Linked DNA regions of Styela clava. The main gene of each other region encodes a partner of the protein of the gene in region 2 in a complex. Links are inferred from orthologs where the notes say so. Each region holds a gene or a part of one and is shown on either strand. Other genes may lie near its edges.

Region 1 (7,111 bases), on a different chromosome or scaffold from region 2:
CAAGTTGAAGCTGGTATACTCTCGTTTATATGAAACCTCCACCTTTATTTGAATTCTAGTGGATCGAAATGTAAGCTTCAATTCCAAATATCTGATATTATATATTAACCGTGATCTTTTCAATGTCTATTTGCTAAATTTCATTGGTGTGTGACGGCTATGGTACGTCTACTACTGACTGAATTTGATGTCCTAAATCAGCATACTACTTACAAAGTTTCAAATGTTTTTTGTCTCTGCCTTGTGCTGAAATTGCATGCGTTCCAGAATGTAATTTATTTGTTTTCTTCTAATCTGAAGTTTGTTATATTTCAATCAATTCTTTCTCCCAATGCTTCTTTTTGCGGTATAACGGCATTGTTTATTCATGGTAACAGTTTGTGTAAATGTTGATTGATATTCAAAAAAGTCTAAAATTATGAGTTTGTATTTTAGATAGTTACATAGCGTTTTAGGGCATCGGTATCTCATTGACTTTATTTTCATTGTTGAGCTGATGCGCAAATTTTTCAGCTTACGTAAGTGTAAGTTCATTTCGACTCCATAATAAGCATAGCAGGCATAAAATAGTTGTTGGATACAATTAAATAAAACAGATTACGAAATTAGGAGAGCAAACCTAAAGGTAAGGTTCAAATCAAATTTAGTTACAGAGCTGTTGTCGAAAGAAATTGTAGGTGGTCACTCAAAAGTATTAAATTATTCGACCTGCGCATACATACAACCACAGAGATTAAATAAAATCAGAAAAAAAAAACCGAAGACGGAGATACATCACTTGGAAAACAAACAACATTACTTAGCAAATAAAAAATTTGTACAAAGAAATAAAAATTTTCCACGAAATATCAATAATTTTGTTCAGATTGCCAAACTTAATACCGAATTAGCGAAATATTCATTGGAAGATATCGCCAAGCTGATTATAGTTGGGAGTCGCCTCATGCCAAATTGCCCAACCAGAACTGCGAGTTATGGAAAACATAAATCAGGAATTGATATTTATACTGTGATCTGGAAAGATTCCGCGAGTTCTGGACTTTATTCATGTTTCTATGGATCATTGTCAAGCGGTGCAATAAATTTACAGCCAGGGCTGGCCATTTCGTCCGCGATTAACTCACCGACGTTTCTTTCATTAAAATGGCAGGCTGGATGTTGGGGCGGTTTGTCCGTTCGGGGGTGAAAAAATCCGAACAATGGAACGAGTATTCGCTCGCCGATAGCGTGTTTATAGTTTTTATGATAACTTTTAATAATAATGTTATTATGAAGAAATATAAAGCAAATGTCTTGAAGTCTCGATGTAAAATATTAGGCTGTCTTTGTTACAAAATAAACTGTGTTGTGGGAACCTGCAAAACTTCTTTTTGCAATCTTGTCAATAAAAGGAAATTACGTGAACCAACCCGCATCATAAAATGAAGCTGATAATGCATTTGTTGAATATTCCTCAAATCGACATTTCCTTTTAGTAATACTCGGACTAAGAGCCGTTGTTAGCTGTTATAAAGAAAGTTTTCCGCAAGTTACCGCTCTTTTCCCCGTATGCGCCCTTTGTTACACATAAACAATCTCTCTCTATATATATGTGTTATAGACAGTCGTGGGATTCAAATTTTTTCTTAGCCGGTTCCTTCACAAAAGTCATATTTATCAGCCGGTTCTGTTGCAAACAGAACATTGACAGTAACCAGTAATGCTAACCGGTTCGCTGATCTCATGAAATCCCGTGAGACGGTTCTATAGAACCGGCTGAATCCCACCACTGGTTATAGGCCTTGTCCGTAATTATGTGCGAGAGGATTTCTGAACTCCTCGCCACCGTAGGGTGGTTAACGGTTACGGCTTCCCCCACCATCAAGTCCATACATTTGAAAAAAAGTAAATGGCTAACTAATTTCATACCCCACAGGGACCAACGAGAGGTCGTGTTTCGCCATATGATTAAGTCATCTTATCGGTTTTCCTCTCCCCCGGATAACTATGTAAATCCTATATTATCCTATCACCACGAACCATTTTAGGGTAACTTCGAGTCGTAACTCAAGTCTTTGATAATTGGGGCTTCCAAAACACTTATAATTTGTACAATCTTTAATAATCCATTTCTCTTTCTTTTTCCCCAACATCTTTGGATCTGTACATACTACGGACACAAGGATGCCTGAATGAGACAATAACAATAATAAAAACAAAAATATATTCGCACTCCACGAAAATGGACCCTCAAGGACATTTTTTGACCAATTAACATAATCCATTCACTATAGAGACCTGTCACACTGGATCCAATTGAATCGCCACTGGATCCAATTTTCGTTCTTCTGATTTTGGTAATCCCGTAGTATTTGCACCAAGATGTCGGACACCGGACCGTAGCATATGTGTACCAGGTTAGAGTCAGGCCACAATTTCAGGTACAAATACTGCGGAAATCACTCGGCTATTCCTCAAACTCGTAGTAGAACCAAAATAAGAAAAATTGTAATAAAATTTTGGCTTAACCCTAACCTGGTACACATACTACGTTCCGGTGTCCGCCATCTTGGTTTACACACTACGGGAGCGCGCCCTAATTTTTACCAGTATTTTTTTTCACCTCTAGCTGTTATGAATAAGTCGCTTATAAAATGCGAAACCAGACCGTTATCACACATTTTAAATAGATTGCAACCGTTTTAGTCATGAATATACGAAAATGATATGAAGGGTCATAACCCATAGACGTACGACTCGTACAAAAATATGAAATTATTTTCCTGATAATGCAGGCCGTCTGTACCAAAACAGAAGAATTTTAAGATTCTGATACTTTCGTGTTTCCACGAAAATAAGACCCAGCATGAATTTAAAAATGATTTCAATATAATCCATTCTCCTAAAATAACCCCTATTCGATTGCGCCATTTTTTGACCTAATCGATAGCAAGAAATCTTTCCTACTCGTTTTAAAGGATTAATAATATATGTTTAGCAGTTATTTTAAATAAAAACGTGTTATTTACCTACTCTGAAAATAAGACATAGTATGAATTAAAAAATGATTTTAATATAAGCCCTTTTCTTAAAATAACACCTAGTCGATAGAGCCAATTTTTTTGACCTAATCGATAGCGAGAAATATTTCCTACTCGTTTTAAAGGGTTATTAATATATGTTTAGCAGTTATTTCAATTAAAAACGTGCTATTTATAAGTAAATGGATATAGGTTTTCATATTTTGTATATTTGAAAATCTCGTAATTCTCCTAATAAAAATAAAAGACATCCCCCCAAAATAAGCCCTAGTGTTATTTTTCGGAAGAAAATTGAAATAAGACACTGTCTTATTTTCGGGGAAACGCGGTATATGGATGGTGGAGTAAATATTGTACGATTAAACAGGATCAAAATTGACATCGCGAGTTCAGTTTAAAACCCAAATGGCAGGCGGTGTAGTGGCGGGTAGTTCCGTGGAAGCTTAAGTTATTAAATTTTGGGGTAAAAAAGGACTAAACTAATTCATATTAATATAGTGTTTGAAGTCAAGTATATCTTGCTTTTACTCGACGTGTGCCATATGATCAATACGTTTTTAATCATTAGAAATTAATAAACTTTAAACAAGATAACGCAATAAACGGCGTCAAAAAACAACGTGTTGTCCGTTTAAATGCGATTTGAAATATCATGAAAAAATGGCCTTCAGCGCTCCCGCAAATATATTCTCCTTAGATTGGTGTGTGCGAATGATCAATGAAGCGTGACCTACACAGTATGGCGCAGGCGTGATACTGGCGTCGATGCCGACGTCTGTGCGTACAGCAATTGACGTCAATTTGCAAGCTATATCTGTAACGTCTCTCAAACACAACAAGATATATTCGACATGATTTGTCTGCGTTGAGGTGTAGGATGAAAACATCTAGTTGTTTTAACTACAGCTGAACAGCGACAACCCAATTCCAACTTTTGTCAATTCAAATTTATTATGACACTATATTTCACGTTAATTTTATTTTAAACTTTGAAGTGTGCCTGAATGTTCTTCCTTTTCTTCGCTTTAATTGCTAAAAATACTATTACATAGATGCTTATCTTTTGTTTGTTGAAAAACGACATACACTTTGGAAAATTTATACAATTAAAATTGTGCGGGTACTCCTCTTATTGTTTACGCATTTGCGTAGCGAAATTTCATCTGTTTTCACGCACGGCGTCAGTCTGCTAATCAGAAGTGCGGATTGCGGTAAGCAGGCTCGCTGTAGAAGTCGCTATTTGATGGCCGAATTGTAACGTCTTACCCGCAGAACATGTAGGCTTTTTATTGGGACTATATTATCAAGACGATATGCGGGATAATAGAAAATATGGACATACAAAAGTCGAAAAGCCCTAGTTAGTATCCCGCCAACAAGCAAGAATTTGAGACAACATTTTTAAAGCTTGAAAGAGTGGAATTTTGAATCTTCACAAGAAATGACTTCATTGAATAGTATATTGGAAAATAGGGCACTCATTCGGACGAGGATTGGACCACCAGATGTTTATCCGCAGGTTTGTTATGAAATATATTTTAATCATATATTCAGATTACATTTATAGATATGTTTTCTAATTCATCAATTTTAGTCAACAGGCAGGTAACCAATTTCTCTGAAATAGACAATAAAAAAATGGGAGTTAATTAGTTATAGGTGTATGTCTGTAATACTGGGTTGTTGAGTCTATAGGACAAAAGTTTGTTAACTATTTCAAAAAATTTGTTTATTAGAAATAACACATACCGGTAGGGCTACATTAATAATAATAATATCATAAGAATTATGTTGATTGGGATTTTGGGTTTATTATTGTGTGCTCCAGTCAAAAGCTTATAGATTCGGTTATTATAAAAAATATTGAGGCTTGATTAGTCAGATCATCTCGACTTATTGGTGGTGTGGCGCATCGTGCTAAATGTTAGAAATACGCTTGCCACCACACCTCTGTTTACACTGTAAGACCGTGTGGATTTGCGGGTTTGAATCTAATGTGGGATAATTATGTGCGAAAGGATTGCTAGACTACCTGGTGTCAGAGGGTGGTCCGCAAAACCGATGGTCGGTTGCAGCTTCATCATCCACCTTCAACATCAAGTCCATGCATATGAAACGAATAACTGGCTGACTGATCCCATACCCGACATGGACTGGAAACCCGATGAGAGGATGGGGTTCACCATGTGATCAGGCCGTCTTTTTGGCTTTCCCCTCCTTTGGGATAAATACATTTTTCTTATCCTATTGTAAAATTTGCCAATGCTGTTATTCTTTTTTCACGCGGGTTCGTTTCCGTCGTATCGCATCGAAATTGACTTGATCTAAGATAACTAGCGAGAATTTGGCGACATTTAATATTCTGATATCTGTATGCCATTTGAAAATGAATTTTCCAATTATTTACCATCAATCGTATATTTTTCGTTCTTGCGGTTTCTAGTCCGGTAGAGTCCAGTAAATGGGAATGGGTTGTGACTGCCTTGTGGATTCGAGTTTAATTTTTATTTTTTTTATATATTTAGGACCTTCATATTCTGCTTTACTCAATGTACTTATGTAGGCTACTGAACTCAATACTAAAGACTTTAGTTCGGTCAAGACTATTTTATCCCCTAGCACCTTGGGTTCCCAAGCACATATTCTAGTATGAGGTACAAGAGCAGAATATATAATATTTGGTATAAATATGGTCTGGCACAATGACAACTTATTATAAGCCTAAGTTTCGAGTTTAATAAAAAATGACTCTGGAGCAATTCCTTCTTCTAGTTTGTTTTATTCAAAATTATTATGCTCAATTTTTTCATATCGGAGTAGTCGTGTTCTACGATATACTCAACTTCATAGTCAAGCTATTCGATTTATGTGCAGGGGGTGCAGGATTGAGATGTGATTCATTATTTTACTATATACCGGTAGTTGTATTTTACCAGGTTATTGTTAAAACTTTTACTTGCTACTTATCTGTAGATTTGTTTTCAAAAATCAATACTTTCAAATAAATTATTTGTACTGCAAACTCAAAACATACAATATCTGTACTGGTGAGGGACGAGTAGTCGTCCATCCACGTTATGATTAAGATCTTTCTTCTCCCCATGAGGTCATTTTACCAAGATTGTTTATATGCATATACTATGTATTTATTTACAATCATTCTTCTTTTTGAGGATTTCTATGCAGCATACTATGTAGAATAAAAGGTGCATAAAACAAACATAATAGATAATATAGTGGGTAGCTCGGAATGAAAGTGGGTGTTCTGACGAGCAAGTTTATAACCTGACTTTAGTCCTGTTTCTGACTCCAAGTATCTAGCTACTTTAAATACTACACTAATTTTACTGAATAAATGATACAAACACTACTTTATGTATAAATTTACATTGTTCCGATATAGTGGTATTTATTTGTATATATAGTTGTCACTATCTGTATCAGCAATATTGATTGCAGGTGTTACTGATATTGTAGAATATCGCGGAATTGGCATTGAAAGCAAAATAGTTTATAAACAATTGAAATGAGTGAATAAAAATAAACTTGGATAGCTGGGAGAGCTAATCAAATTACCGTTTTTCTTATATTTTTTAATAACATCATAATAAATGAATACTGCAGTTTGAGGAGGGCAAGTTTACATTTTGTGTGGCACTGCAAAAATGAAAAAAAAATCTCGTAACTGATATGAAAATGTAAAGTAAATTATTGCTTCTTGTCATTTTATTAACTGCTGTTTTAGTTGAAGGTCATTGTAAATAAAAAGCTTTCAAATTTTAATATTAATTTGTTATAACTCAAATTCATAACTATTTAGTTTTATGATTTATAGCTCATTGGTATTGACGAATAAGATGTTTATTAAGATTCATTTAAATGTTACGTCTGAGTTGATGTATATTTATGAACATAGCAGGATCATTATTTACTGCTAATTTTCATTAGATACATGGTTGATTTATTATTGGCCTGTGAATCAAGTTGTTGTTCTTGTGGAAAAATTTCCATCGCAACTTCTGGACCAATCAATATTAAATTGGTAGTAATTGAAGATGGAAGAAAGCATATTGCATTTACTTTTTTAAAAT
Region 2 (8,062 bases):
ACTATTGAGCATACTTCAGAACAGAAAGATTGGTTACTTTCAGTCTGTTCTGGCTTATTGTCAACATGAAAACATGTCAAATGGCCCTTATTGCACTTTCTGCAAGAAGCCACGTTTTTGCATGACTTTGCACTATGACCCTTGGACATTTTCACTCCACAAGAGTAACATAAAAAATTATCCCAGAACAGTTTCCTTCTTTTTACCAAAGAAATTCGTAAGAATGTTTGACAATCACCAATTTTGTGAGACCCATTACAATGCAAGCAACTATCTCGTGAAACATTAGTGCTAAAGGAATTTTTATTCATTCGATGACCATATCTCGAATGATTAGACTTACTATTTTGCTCAGTATTATACTTGGACGGGTTGAGATTCTCATCAAAAACTGTCATCTCAGGACAATGCATCACTGAGGCACGCTTTAAAATAAATTTTGCAAACTCCTCAAATGGAGGGTATTTGGGGCAGTTTACCTTCAAGTTATCAGATGTGTTTACATTAAACTTACACTTCCATTCATAAACTGACTCTTTCCACCTGTTAAACAATGAAGAGGGCAAAACTCTTTTGATTAACACACATAGCTCTGAGGGAAAATCGAGAATTTTTAAATCCTCTACAACCTTTTTAACCTCAACAATTTGCTGAAGGAAATCAGAAAATGCCAACATGCCTTTTATATCATTTGGACCAATTTTAGGCCATGATGCCAGTTTTGTTCTAAAGGCTACACTAATGACACTGTCATCACCATAGCGATCTTTTAGGGCCTTTTTAGCTCTTTCATAAGAATTCTCGGATTGTAATAAAAACAAACCTTCAACCATACTTTTGGGTTCACCTGTCAAGTGACGTTCAAGCAGATTCATTTTATCTGCGTCATCAAGCAACCTTTGCTCGACTAGCTTTTTAAATGAGCTCTCCCATTGTGGATATTGCAATGGATCCCCATCAAACACCCTAACTTTGGCTACAGGAGCCCTTTGGACTGATAAAATATTACTCATTAAATTGGTCATGTCATGGGAAAGATTGCAGGTTTGTGGAGGAAGAGCAGCACTATTCACAGTGGGAACAGAGATATTATTATCATTACAATGAGTTGGTAAGCTGCCTGAATTGGCAGACACAGTGGTGGTTTGTGTACAACAGTTAAAAGGAGCACTAGCAACTCTGGATACATTAAAAACATTTTGTGATACATTAGAAACAGTAGGCACTGATGGGAATGAATTCACATTAGGGGGTGGCAAGGAAAAGCTACCAACATTTACAATACCAGTGGAAACGGCCTCTTGGGAAGCACTAACATTAGTAATGGGCAGTCGGGGATTGATTACAGGACTATAGCTCGATGCTTGGCAGGGAATATCAACAACAGTGGATGAAACTTGATCATGATTAGAAATATCTGAATTATTTAGCTCAATTTGAGGATCAATAACCATGCACGCTGGGGCCTCATTTAAAATAGGAGATGATTTTGAATTTGCATTAAAACAACTATTATTTGAATTGAAATAATTATTTGCACCTCTCATTAGATCCACATCAACACTGAAAGGATTTTCGGCCTCTTCAGCTTGAAGACAAACTAGCGCCCTGGCTTTTTTCTCCGCTATCTCTTTTTGAATCTGAAGATCAAATTGCTGTTTACGAATGCCTTTCGTAGCCTCCATTGCTGCCACATCTTTTTGCAAGTCGAAGAATTCTTTTTTGCTTGAAACTTTGCTTTCCCCAGACATTGTTGATTTCACGCTGCTTACAGTTCGAGCAGAACGATGCCGCTTTGAAGTTGGGCGAGATGATTGAGAACATTGGGATCGTTCATCTAGTTCTAATATTTTCGCACTAGCAGTTTCAGAAACTTGTATAATATTTTCAATACATTGTTGATAACGACGTGTGAAATTAATCAAATCAGTCTCCAATAAAATGTTCTTCATATCCTTGACAATTGAAGATAAACTTGACTTATACTGCACTAGTTTTGGAAACACCGCTTGAATTCCAGAACCATCTTTGCAGGTGACGAAAGACAATTTGCAGTCGGCTATGGCTTCTAAAATGTCATTCTCCATTTCAGTGAAGGCTGCTTTCAACGAGTCACTATTTCTTGTGCCTTGGTCTAGTTGGACGCTAGAGCTATTTTCACTGCTAGTAGGCCTAGAGCCGGACTTGTCAGCAGCAGAGAACATTTTAATTGGTTTGCTTTTTAAAGTTTCACATGGTGACAAGGAATCCAAATCATCTTTTATATCAGTAATTTGACTTTCTCTAGATTTTGTTGACATGGTGTTGGTCGTTACGGTATCTAATTGCAGCTGATTACAATAGGCCTACACGGCCTTCTCAGCAGCACAAATTACTGATTATATGACGTTTTGCTGCAACACTTGCAGACTTTGACAATGTGTTGGGTCTGTGGGTACACCCCACAATACTTTACTGCAACACTTGCAGATTTTGACAATGTCCTCCCGAGAGATATGTATTTTACTATAACGGCTCAGCACCATACGATGGCGATGTGCTCGTTAGGGTGATTGGAATAAATAGATCGTACAGGCACTTTATTTTTGATGACGCGGTTCTGTCTGAGTTCCTTTCAAAGTTCGAAACGATTGTCCAAAGATGTTTATTGTTGAGTCAAAATAGTAGTCAAATAATGATGAAATAGTTGTCAAACAGTAATCCGGTAAAATACAGTGCTATTACACAGGAGGGACCAATAATAACTATATGAAACAGGAAAATAGAATTATATGATGTAAATTTAAACTACGCCTAATTAATAATACCAAAAGTCCCCCGATTGATTAAGATACAAATTTATACGTCCTACCTCCAAGCGGCTCACGCCGAAAGAGATCCCGCCAACACCAAAATGGTCAGGGTTCAATGCCCTAAGTTACCGTTGCCAGTTTAGTTATAATAATAGCGGTCACCGTTTAGAATCATGACCGCTACAAAGATGATCTCTCAATACTGTATCTAGGGATGCGGTTTATTCCACCATATCCAAAAATACCCCTCTATTAGAAGAGCCAGCCCGTTCATCGTGCCCACGGAGGGACAGCTCGTGACAACCAATGAACTTCAAAACATCGACCGAGAACATGGCGGTTTTTCTCGACGTTTTGGTTGTGCCGACGAATAGAAACCGCGCGTCCTTCATCCAACTGTGCTGCAATATTAACATTTCCGAATGTTCGGTATTTTACTGCATTGTTCAGATGCTCCATAGAAGATTGATGATCCCTGACACGCTCAGAAAGATGTTTAAGATCTCTAAAACCAAATTTACACCAACGTGAGTCACGGGCGGTAGCAAAAAGTAGGCAATAAAAACAATAAAAGTGCATTTTTGTCCTCGCTGTAACACAACCATTCGTGTTTTTTATACCAAGTTTCTGCGCAGAATGTACGCCGACGCTTTCCTCCGTCATGGGATTGTTCCAGTGAACAATTTTTTGGTTGATAAGGCCCAAGACGTTGTACCTCTAATTTTTGTTCCAGCGGCAGCTGCGAAAACGGAGTGCGAAGTAGTGCATCAACCTTATTCATTATGAGGTCTAAGGCTAAGAAATGCGAAGCCGGAAAAAAGTGAGGAGCTCAAAAGGAATGTGGAAAATCGAAAGCAAATGGACTAAAGGTCTCTAACTGATTCAAATAGCGAAACAAGTGACAAAAACGAAGGCGAGGAAACTATTAACTCTCCAAGCAACCAACGAACCAGAAGGCGTCGCCCCGTCGACGTTCGGCGAAGGCTTTGCGAGCGAAAAATGAACCATGTCGGGAGAATATGGCTAGTGTAGACAGTCTGTGCAACCGATATTGAGGTATTTTTCGAATATTTTTTATTATACCGAACAAACAACCGAGGCATTGCCCCGGTTGCGCCTATCGACGCGCCGCCACTGACTTAGGCAAAATGCTTGGCATTTATTCATATTTATTTTGCACCCAGATATTGCATAGTACCGTATTAATTTGGGCTCTGCGAAATGATCCGATACGAGAGAGATTGCTGTCGCTAGAGAGTTTGTTACGCACTCGCAGGGGCCGTGACGCCTCACAAGTGATCGTCAATATACTTTTGGCAAGCTCTATCTCGCGATTGTGACGTCGCAGTGACGTAATTTTTGAATGACGTGCTCAGGTAGGGGTCGGGAATGATATATGCAAAAATTGTTACGCCACGCCCACTAGTAGTTATTGCGGCACGAAACTACACGAGACCCGTTTCACCAGCCCCACCATTGGCTTTACCAAATCGCCTTCCAGCCTTGGGGTCTAGCGCATTTATTAAACTCAGAAATACTGAAATATGCTAATGAAGAACAGAATATTCAAGGTAGATATCGTACTATAACATCAATGTACTCAACCATCAGACCATACGGCCATAGTAATATCAGAATACGGTATAGTACGCATACAACAATTGTTTCGAACTTTTGCACTTCTATTTTGAAAGTTCAATGAATTTGTAATAACGTAGACTAATATCTGAATATAGTACAGCAGTAGTAAGATACCGGTAATATGGGAAAATAATATTTCAAGTCTCTGAGTTTCATGAGGTTGAGGTTTATCCAGGTATCTTTATACAGTTATAAGTAAGTACATATACTATTAATACATGTAAATATACATGAGCCAGTTTACCCACATTCAACACACAAACATTTATTCAAAATAAAAAAGACAGACACGAACCGATATCGTTCGGGCGTCAAACTTCAGAACTTGTGTAACATAAACACTATTCCTGTATTCTGTTATTAGGATAAGATTAACATATTTATCCCGTTGAACAGGGAAGCCGATAAGATGACTTAATCATAATATGGCGAACCACCAGTCCAGTCCGTTTTGGGTATATGGGTACGGTATGGGATTAAAGGATTAGTTAGACAGTTATTTCAAGTGTTTGTTTTCAGATGCGTGGACTTGATGGCGGAGGGAGTCGTAACGATCAATGGTCAAGTGAGCCACCCCACGACAGCGAGGGGTCAATCTTTTTGCACATAATTACCCCACACAGGATTCAAATCTGCGAACCCAAGCTGGGTAATCAGAGGAATTGAGCAAAACTTCAATTTCTTATCTTTTGATTTTTTCAATAATATAGTCCAATTCATTACGTTGTTGTACTAAGTACAATAACATTATGTCATAGTGCTGTAGTGTCTTACCAACACAATGAATACCTCTACATCAGCCAACAATGGTGGAAAACTTGATGATTGCCACTCGTCTATCTATTCTCTGGCAGATTTAACAGGGTTGAGATGGAGAACATTCTCTGGGCCGAAATCTCTCCCAGTTAGTCCATCTGATGACCCCGTCCTCGTGGCATTCAGCAACTGCTTGTCACAAGATATACTAGCTGTTTGGAGAAAAGCTCCCAGCTTGAAGAAAAGCACTCCAAGTTTGACTCAGACCCACCCACATCAGTTCAATGAAGATGAAATGAACTCAGGATCTAATTTTGAATTAAAGAAAGAGTTATGGATATTTTGGTGGGGAAATGAAAATGAGCCATCAGTTGAAGCAGTAGGTAGATCTGTTGGGCTCACTTTTGAATCAGAAGATTCATGGGAAGATGTTGGATTATCTTATGAATGTAGAACACTATTATTCAAAGCAATTCACAATCTAATTGAAAGGTGTCTCCTATCAGAAAGATTTGTAAGAATTGGAAAATGGTTTTTACGACCATTTAAAAGAGACACAGATGTGGATAAATCTGATAGACTTTCTATATCTTTCACTTTCTTTTTGAGAGGTGAAAACACCGTCTGTGCCACTGTTGATATAGGATCACATCAGCCAGTGGAACGATTGAACAATCAATATTTGATCCAAGTTTCCAATAATCTCGTTTCCAAAACGGTGATTTTAAGCCCATTTGGACTTCGTGCTTCAGTTACCGGATTGGTTTATAAATCACTTCATGACCAAGCAGTGAAAACTGTAATTGATGAATGGAAAGGCTTTTATCCTATTGACATATCAATGTATGAGAGACAAACGTATGATGATCATGACAATGTTGAGCAGCCTGTGCCCCCAGTTGTTGAAGTATTTTTGTCTGGTGTTCGAACAAATTATCCTTCTGCTTATATACTTGTACCTGTCGACACCCATTCTGCTTTGAAGGATGGCGAAAGTAGACCTTGGAATGCAGATAGAAGAGCAATGGATTGTGTAAGCCACCAAGGTGATATCACTTCAATCGGATCATTTCAAGACAGCATGGGGTTATCAGTTAATGAAGTTGCAACATCTCCGATCTCAGAATCTGCAAGAGATGGTATGACATCACTGAACCCAGAGGGTACAAGCTCATTGGTTAGGAGCTTAATTTCCAGAGTCGTCAATGCCAGCGTTTCATCTGAGATGCGACTTGAAAATGAAGTAAATGGAATTCATCCACATCACCCTGAACCTCTAACTGTTCATGACAACAGCCCATCACAATGGCCCCAACTTTGTAGCCAATTCAAAAAAGCGAGACAAAGACTGAATTATTTTCCTCCAAATGATGATGAATTGAGCCAGATGACTGGAAAACTAAAATATATGAATGACAGCAATCAACAATCAGATGGAAGACGTAAATCAGACAAACAGAAACAACCAGCAACAGTTCCATTTCATCACACAAGTGCTGAACCAACCCCGCCTGGCATTGTTAATCAACAACTTGTTGCACCATACTTTCAGAATCCTGAATCTAATTCTATGATAATGATGTATCCTCCTCAGCCAGTTGGTTTTGTAAATTATCCGCAATGGAATCAGGAAGAACAAAAATCATTGGATCAACAAGGTATGTGTGGGCCTATGTTTTTTCAAAATAATGACATTCCCAATGTTCGTGAAAATTTTCAAAGTGATCCCATAGAACCTGGATTTCAATATACTATCACTGATGAAGCAATCAAAAATGCACCAGTAGGGGAAATTAAAGAGAATGTTTCAGTTTGGAAAAAAATTAAGTTGCCCAAACAAGTGCAAAAACTACAAGGGATGGCAAATATAGTTGGAAAACCAAAAAAACCATCTCTGATACCAGAACATTTGGAATCTGAAACTAGTGCATCCAGCAACTCGTTTAGATCTTTGAAACGTATGAAATATAATATAAAACATATTCAAAAGGAACTGGCATGGAGTATTGATTCGAAAAAAATGAAAGTGGATGAAGAAAGCACTGCCAATGATGACATTGAAAATTCATCAGCTCCTTCATACAATAATAACATGACCGCAGGCATGGATCATGTTAATCCACCTCACGTTAGACTAGGTTCAATCACAGGTGAGCTTGCTGGAATGACGGTATTATCAGATCCATATAAATTTGAAGATGAAGAAAAAGATACAGATAATGTTGCTCCATTTAATTCGCCATTCACTGCTGATATAAGTTTGAAGCAACCTACCGGGATGTGGTCTAACAATGAAAATACAGAAGGCAATAATATTGAAATGAATCCGAAGACGAGTCATCTTAGTAATCTGTTAAAGCAAGAACCAGGTAGTATGTTCACCAAAGGGTTACCGTCATTATTTAATGAAGGCCCCATTGTTGAAAAGCCACAAATAGGTACCTCATTGATGGATAAAAGTGACTTAAAAGTTTCAGCTTTTGATTTAGACAACATGTTCAATGATTCTGAAGATGATGACATGGGTACTGCAGCTGCAGATGATATTTCAGGAAGCAAAATGGTTTCAAATAAAGTCAATCCAAACAAATATGATCCCACTCGAATGCTTTCAAATACCTATGAGGCTGCACATAGTCAATCTTTCATTGCTACTATGAAAGGAGATGTTGCAAAGTATCAGACACCTTATATCAATAACGAATTAGATTTTGCCAATGCTGGATCGAGTGTCAACTATGGAGGTGATGCAGTTTCAGTAGAAACTCTTGGGTCTTTAGCTAATAAAATGGCGACGAACTTCATGCCTGTGCATGTTTCAGCTAAAACTAATGAAGTGTACAAGAAAAATCCTTTAAGCAGACAGCCAATGA

The links. Proteins that work in one complex are often made in the same cells at the same time.
Region 1: mediator of RNA polymerase II transcription subunit 13-like (region 2) and mediator of RNA polymerase II transcription subunit 12-like share a complex: the UniProt entries of both Drosophila melanogaster proteins name them as parts of the cdk8 module of the Mediator complex. The link is inferred for Styela clava from reciprocal best matches to the Drosophila melanogaster genes skd and kto.

What each region holds. Positions count from the first base shown.
Region 1 is NC_135258.1:12,868,502-12,875,612, forward strand, and holds the start of mediator of RNA polymerase II transcription subunit 12-like, read left to right. Parts: upstream 1-4,111; 5' UTR 4,112-4,461; coding exon 4,462-4,539; intron 4,540-7,111. UniProt on the Drosophila melanogaster protein: Component of the Mediator complex, a coactivator involved in regulated gene transcription of nearly all RNA polymerase II-dependent genes.
Region 2 is NC_135255.1:4,004,843-4,012,904, reverse strand, and holds the start of mediator of RNA polymerase II transcription subunit 13-like, read left to right. Parts: upstream 1-4,997; 5' UTR 4,998-5,214; coding exon 5,215-8,062. Other genes in the region: uncharacterized protein LOC144424452, read right to left, coding at 1-2,300. UniProt on the Drosophila melanogaster protein: Component of the Mediator complex, a coactivator involved in the regulated transcription of nearly all RNA polymerase II-dependent genes.